2 linked regions of the Oreochromis niloticus genome follow. The protein of the gene in region 1 interacts with the protein of each later gene in a pairwise test. Links are inferred from orthologs where the notes say so. Each region holds a gene or a part of one and is shown on either strand. Other genes may lie near its edges.

Region 1 (3,920 bases):
CGGTAACAGAACACAAAGCCCGAGGTGGACAGCACGGTGGCATTGGTGTGGGGCTTCCTGCACAGAGGACAGTTCCTGCTTTCTGAGCCCAGCCCGGTCTGATCCTGCTGCAGGTGGAGCGGGGGCGGAGGAGCAGGCAGGGAGGTGAGAGCTTTCACTGTGCTGAGGTTCTCAGACGAGTACCACCACTCCAGGAACTGCAGGAAGAAAACCCCCATAGAGAGGGAAGAGGAGACAGACACAGCCATGCCCCTCGCTGCTTGTGACATCATCCACCACGCTCTCTGCATCAGGCTGTGAACAGAGAAACATTGCATTGTGGGTGTTTAGCAATGTTTTCTTACGACATGCCTCATTCAAGAACTGTAAAAAATATCACAGAGTGTATGTTTGTGTGCCCTCATATCAATTCACCAAATGACCTAAATAAAGCCACACAGCGCACATCAGCAAACATTAAACTTGATAAGTGTTTAAAGTACTTAAACCTTTGGCCAAACAAAGTGAAATTAATCTCACTGTCTGAAAATTCTCTATGAAAAACATCCATTTTCTAATGTGTTGGATCTGAGCCATCCCAGCAGGCTTGGACCATAAGGACACAACAGTTTTGTGGTTTTTGCATCACTGACTAAATGCATTTTAATGCATGGAACGTTGTATCAGCAACATACAGTTAAACAGGCTGCATGAAAAACTTCTTTCAGGTGAGAATCTGCAACTGGTGATCTATCCGGGTACAAAGCACATCTGTGGGTAAAAACAGAGACAGCAGGGAGTTTGCCAGCTGTACCTTCCACCAGCTGGTCTCCCGGGAGTCCTGGCATTCCGCTCCATATCTCTGATATCTTGAGCATTAAGTCGTTCCAGTCTGACCCCGGCCAGCCACAGGAGAGGACTGTGGGTCCTGGAGACTCCAAAGACAAACAGCAGCTGCTGACAGAAGATCCAGGTCTGCCAGGCTGAGCTGACGTACGGGTATGCTGCTACGGCCGCCCGGTACAGCCTCTGGCTCCTCGTCTGCGCCAGCCGGATGGAGAAATCCTCCTCATCCCTTTGCCGTGCCAACTTGGCCTCCAGCTTGGCCTGCAGGTATGGCAGCAGGCACAGAAGAAGAAGAGACCACCAGCGGGATGCCCTGGTCATCCCGAGGCGCACAGGAAGTCTCTGCCTGCCTGAAACTCTTTTCAGTCCGTAGAAGTTCTCAGAGAAGGAGGCACTGCAGTTAGACAGGAAGTGGTTCTGAAGGAGGAGGTCCAGCAGCAGGTACAGCTCATCAAAGCTTCGCCACAGGAAGCCAAAGCGGGATGGGTTGGACTCTGCCAGAACCTGGAAATGACACCAGGAGCGAGGCTGTTAGAACCCAACACAAATCTATGGAAAGTATAAGTACGCCCCCGACACACACACACGTGCTCACCTTGACTGCATGCTTCAGTGCCGGTCTGACCGCCTCCATCAAAGACTCCTGTGCCAGGACTTCAAACACTGACGGCTGCTCACTGACAGCCGTGGATGTGAGATGGGCTCCGGCCTCAGCCATGGCTGCTGCACAAACACAGCACAGTTACCTTTTACTGTCTCTCAGTCTGCACTCAAGTCCAGACTGAGAGACTCTTCCATCTGTATAAGGATTTACTGGCTTACTGTAACTACACTGAAAGCACTTCATATGTGACAAAACATTCGCTTTATTTACATCAGCTCAAGGACCAGCAGCCAGTGGAAGCAGCTGACCTCAGGGAAACACTGTCACATCCAACTTTCTGTCAATCTTTGAATACAGAGCTCAAAGCAGGCTGTACACAGGCATGGTAGAAGAAAATCACCATTTGGTGCTGCGTTTGAGGTACAGCTTAAAATGCACTTTCTTGGGAATCTCACGACTAATATTAACTTAAAATCTGTCAGTCAGTAACGTTTAAGCAGTTTTAATCCCGTTTGAGGGGCAATTGAGCAGTTTTTATGTCCCTGTGCTCACTAAAACTAAAATTTATTCAAGTAAAGTTTGAAAATTGCTGCCCAAATAAGCCCTAGGGAATATTTTAAGGTGGCTGGAGCACAATAAGGACGTTTCTATCGGAGCTTTGTGATTCACACTAATCTTGTCTCCCTTACAGAGATTCAGTAAGCAACATGACAGTTACAGGCAGCCGCTGCATGAACTTAGAACCGAGGTACAAGGTGCAAAGCTGGCATGACCTACTTCAACGTGAGTTGTCCCTGAAGGCTGCATTTCTCGTTAAACGGCACAGGTGTCTTCAGTGCAACACTGCAAAGTCTTAAAAACGCAAGCCGCCTATATGAGCATTTGTGAAACACTTAATATGTCAGTGACGTTTTGAATTGACGGCTGGGAAACACCAGCCAGTGTCGCATCTTACTCAGTGCTAACGCCAGGTAAGTAAGGTACTGGACAGGTGCTATTACCAGTTTAACACAGTTTAACAGACTAAACAGTAAGAAGTACTGACAGCGGGAGTTAGCATTTGCTTTTCACTACTTTATTTCTGTGGTCACACGTACCTTCCTCTGCTGGTTGCTAGCTCCCAGCCAGCAGGTCTGCGTTAGCGTCAATTCTCTTCAGGCTTCTTCTACCTCACACGGCAGCGCTGAGCAAAACATTAGGACGGAGTCTGATTTTGTCCCATTTCTCTCCTCTCTCGCCCCACAACGTGTACTGTCCACAACAATTCACCATTTCCGTTTACACACGCTCTATTTTTTTTCAACAACGTCATCACGCAAGCGTATGCGACTGCTCCATCGGACTCTAAGGAGGGACCCTCTAACTCTACCGTGATTGGCTGTTTCGCTGTCAAGCAACTTATGACGCTCTAGATCCTAGGCCACCGATAGGTGGACGCAGCCAGGCTGAGCCAAAGAATGATAGTCTGCCTTTATTTAAACCGTTGTAAATAACTTGTTGGCCTATAAGCTCTCAAACATATCTGTCTTTAATGATATTAAGTAATTTTTAGCCCCCCAAAAATTATACCAGTCACAAGGTAGAAGCTGCAACCAGATTTTTGCAAAAGCGACGCTATATCCTTTATTTATACAGGTAAAAAGTGCAATTGACCTTAAAAATCCCCCCCAGGAAGAGGGAGAGAGCCAAGAGAGCAGTTATTAGACAAATATGAAATAACAGTTGTATAAACACATTTTTATTTCCGTTATTTATTTACGAATTCACATTAATTACTTGATTTTGACGTATCGTCGATTTTAATCTGCGCAGGGTTTTTCTTTACATTTTTCTATACATACAGCAGTCACACAAAGCACCGCGTCCAAATAACATAGAAACAAATAGACCAATCAAGTACATTGTAACACATCCTACGTGATCGTGCTGAGCCAATCAAATAGAATAGAATTAGTGTTATACTGATTCAATTTTAGGGTCAGATTCATAGACCCCAAAATTAAAAAATATAGTGTATGTATGTAAATGTATCAATTGTGTTGCTGTTAATATTGGAAGCAGGCTGACAGTCTGTTTATTCATTCAAGTATAGCAGTGTGAAGTATTGGAAACTGTGATCATCTTATATATTGTCTTTTAATATGATGTCTTCTAATCTATTTCTGGTTTATCAAACAGCCACTTTGCCTTTAGAACTAGTGACAAACCAGCAGTTGATAGAAAACATATTAATTTATATACAGTCTGTGAAACTTGATGGTTCTGCTTCCTTATCCATTTGGCCTGTGAAGGTTCCCCAATGAATCGGGAAGTAATTTTGGAGGCTATCTTCGTGCTCCTTTCCTTGTTGTCTTGTATCTAACATGGGTACCTAAAAACTAAAAAGTGATTGTTATACATGAACAATATCCAGCACTCCATGTTGCTCTGAGTCTGGGTTTAATCTCTTGATCCCATGCCCTCTATCTCTCTATCCTCTTCATTTTCTGCC
Region 2 (3,920 bases), on another chromosome or scaffold:
ATTACCTACATAACTAATATCAGCCAGTCTCTTGGACAGGTGGTGGAACGAGCCAGTGACGTAAAACAGAGCCGAGTGGAGGCGATAGAGGAGGGTCAGGCTCTGCTGGAGGACAAACACAGCGTTCAGACACGCCCTCCTCTGGGGCTCTGAACACAGCGCCGCCGCTTTCTGGACCCATCTCCTCAGCCAAGCCTCGAGGCTCCATGGCACGGACCCCACCTGCTGCCGACCGCGGCTCTCTTGCCCGCCTTCAAGCTCGTTCTCCAGACACACCAGCAGCTTGTCCAACAGATAAGGAACGAAGGCGTGGCAGAGGACAAACACACCTCGTCTGGCTGGAGAGGGGATCTGACGTTTAGTGGGATCCACTTGGACAATGTTAACATATTCCTCACCCAGAGTCTGATAGCCTGGAGAGGAGAACCATCAATCAAAACAGGAAATCAGCTAAATGCATTAACTGAACATGGTTTGTGGTGACTACCCAAGAATGTTGTTAGGCCAAAATATGCAAGATCTGACAACAGCTCGATCTCCTTCCTCCACTCCAGCCATCGTCTGGATCCTACAGAGATGAAGAAAACATACAGAGGTTACAATTACCTCACTTTGGCAATATAATGTAATATAATGCCTAACATGAAATATGTTTGATTAATATGCTTCATCCCACAGACAAATATCTTTACAGTGCATATACACATGGATTATACACAGAGACAAACTTGTATTTGTCTGACAGCTTCAGCTTCTACTTACATGGGTAAAAAGAAAACTCACAAGCTGCATGTTTCTGATCAAATAAAGAGTAGATTATAGATTAAATATTCCTTTATTGGGGGAGAAAATCTCCCTATATCATAACTGTTTTAGGTCAGATGGGCTGATTTTTGCTAAACGGTCCAACAGAGCAGAGATGATACAAACACCAAATGCTTACGTCAAAACACACACATGTGCAGCAGTCAGTAACATGTAACAAACATATGTAGCAGCGACATTACTTCAAAATACACCATGATTCATACAAGTGAAAAAAAATTACTGCAGTAATTTAGCTTGACATTTATTTTCAGGTACATGTTGGTGTTTATTACGAACAAGTGCTATTATTTTAAAATCTAAAAATCTTGAAATTGACCGAACACCACTGTAAGGGTATACAGCAGTAACAATGTTAGTGTGTTTATCTGGGACAGATAAACAGCAACACAAGTCATGTTTATTCATGGTTTCCTTTTGAAACCGGCCATATTTCACACATACACAGCAAATCCATGAAAACCACCTGACAACAGTGTGCTCAGTGGACATTTCTGAGAGCTGCATGTGGAGGAAGCTGTGTTGGAGCGAATACTATTCATTGTAGCTATCATGCTGTCCATTGCTGTTTTGAGATCCCCGCTTAGTTTTGCAAACTGTCTAATGCACACATCAGTGTAAGCTTATCATGTGAGGTGCAACAGCCAATCAGAGTGGCTCTTCTTCCTTTTAATGGGATTCTGAATTCAAAAAAAGTGGCTAATATATAAGCAAATTCAAAGGGCTGTTATTTTGAAATAGTCAATCAGACTGGGGTCTCGCTTGCTTGCGGCTCCTAGAGTACTGAAAAGCAGAACGGGAGGCAGAGCCCTCAGGCTCCTCTGTGGAACCAGCTTCCAGTTTGGACTGGGGAGACAGACGCCCTCTCTGCCTTTAGGATCGAGCTCTAAACCTTCCTCTTTGATAAAGCATACAGTTGGATCAGGTGACCCTGAATCCTCCCTTAGTTATGATGCTATTTTCTTCCTGTTAAAAGGGAAGTTTTTCCTTTTCACTGTCGCCAAAGAGCTTCCTCACAGGGGTCATCTGATTCTGGGGTTTTTCTCTGTTTTCTTTGTATTATTGTAGAATCTTTACCTTACAATATAAAGCGTCTGAGGCAACTGTTGTTATGACTTGGTGCTATATAAATAAAACTGTTTTTGACAAAGTGACGTTTATATATTATTCTATTATTCTATTATATTATATTATTATTATATATTCTTTATTTCTCCAGTTAAAAAATCTCATTCACATCAAAAAAATATTTCTGGCCAACAACTATAACCATAGTTTTATGAAGATATTTTACGAGGCCAAAAAAGACTGGATTGGTTACAATGTAGTTACAATATCACAGAGTCATAAGGATCCAGTTTAGATCTACAGTTTATATATAACCCCTTTGTAAATAATCCTGCTCACTAAAGGCTGTTTCCCCATAAAAGTAAAGACATCAGAAACACCTGAAGTCACAGACCGTGATTACACCGGGAGACAAACACCTGTCGCATCGCAGGACGAGCTCGAAAGTGAACTACGTTAAAACAAGACATTCAGTCCTTATACCCAGAATCACAGAGTGCCGGTTTAGCTGTGCTTCTCTTACCGGCCAGAGTCTGGAAGGCGTCGTTAGCGCTGTTCCTCAGAGAGCTTCGATAATAGTCGTCCTTCTGACTGCACCGAATCAGCTGAGCCCGAGTCGCAGGAGCCAGGGGCATCGTCCGGTACAGCCGGTCACACGCTGTGACACCGAGATATCACCGTCCAGGGTACTGCTCTTCATTCACACGCAGGCTGAAGTCAAGTCGTCCGGTCACTACACCAGATAAAACAAACCTAACTGCTCTTATTCTGATCCGAGCTGCATTTTGCACACTCTCAACGTCCACTAACATCCACTGAGAGTGTTTAGAGTAGCTGCGGAGTTTTGAGCCGCTCCAGGAAACATTACCGGAACTGTCTGCTGTACAAACAGACAGACAGCCAACCCTATAACTCACAGCGCCTCTCAGGGGCAGGGAGGAGCACTACAAGCGCACAAGGTTTGGATTTCATCCGATTGTGTTTAACAAGGTATCAAGCTGTCATCTTATATTATGTGTTCAGCTTTTAAAACATACACTCCTAACAAAACAAAACCACCTTTGTTTTTTACTCACTCTTTGTCAAAGACCACCTGACCCTTCAAGAAGAGTCAGTGTACATTGTAGTGCTCATGTACTTGGTGGAAACAACTGGAGGAAAACAATCAAAATTCTTAAAAACTGATAATGTAAAGATCTGTGTGTGTACGTCAAACAGATGAGTTAGACACAGTGAAAGCACTTACAGGTCTGACTGAAAGAAAACGTGACCGACTGACGGACTCAGGCACAGTGTTCACTCACAGTTAGACATTTCCTCTGGAAACCATGGATGCTGTCCTATATAAGCTAAAAATGTGGGTGACCATCCATCTAGTTATCATAGCATAGTTCGAAAGCCGAAGTGTTGAAGTGAGCACCATGGTGAGATCTAAAGAGCTGTCTGATGCCCTCAGAAAGAAGATTGTGGCCGCTTGTGAGTCTGGTAAGGGATTCAAAAAGGTCTCAAAAGAATGTGACATTAGCCATTCCACCATTTGGAAAATTGTTTACAAGTGGAGGACACTAAAACAACTGCCACCATGCCCCGGTCTGGCCGTCCAAGCATATTCACCCCCAGAGCAGACCACAAGATGCTCAAAGAAGTCATCAAAAAACCTAAAATGTCATCACAGGAACTACAGCAGGCTCTCTACTGTCGATGTGAACGTGCATGACTCTACTATCAGAAAGAAACTACACAAGTTTGACTTTCATGGAAGGTGTGCAAGGAGGAAACCTTTGCTCTCTAGGAGAAACATTAAGGCCAGACTGAAGTTTGCCAGAGAGAACGTAGACAAAGACCACGACTTCTGGAATAATGTTCTTTGGACAGATGAGTCTAAAACTGCATTATTTGGACACCAGAGCAGTAAACATGTTTGACGTAAACCAAATACAGCCTTCCAAGAAAAGAACCTCATACTAACTGTGAAGCATGGAGGTGGCAGTATCATAGTTTGGGGATGCTTTGCTTCAGCAGGATCT

What was found.
Region 2: the proteins of pex12 (region 1) and pex10 interact in a two-hybrid assay, tested with the Homo sapiens proteins (4 studies listed by BioGRID, with this or other methods). The link is inferred for Oreochromis niloticus from reciprocal best matches to the Homo sapiens genes PEX12 and PEX10.

Annotation. Positions count from the first base shown.
Region 1 is NC_031969.2:4,526,588-4,530,507, forward strand, and holds the start of pex12 (peroxisome assembly protein 12), read right to left. Parts: upstream 2,765-3,920; 5' UTR 2,527-2,764; intron 1,549-2,526; exon of another isoform or gene 1,546-1,548; 5' UTR 1,544-1,545; coding exon 1,421-1,543; intron 1,330-1,420; coding exon 794-1,329; intron 295-793; coding exon 1-294. UniProt on the Homo sapiens protein: Component of a retrotranslocation channel required for peroxisome organization by mediating export of the PEX5 receptor from peroxisomes to the cytosol, thereby promoting PEX5 recycling.
Region 2 is NC_031984.2:35,141,811-35,145,730, reverse strand, and holds the start of pex10 (peroxisome biogenesis factor 10), read right to left. Parts: upstream 2,792-3,920; 5' UTR 2,529-2,791; coding exon 2,417-2,528; intron 569-2,416; coding exon 488-568; intron 414-487; coding exon 10-413; intron 1-9.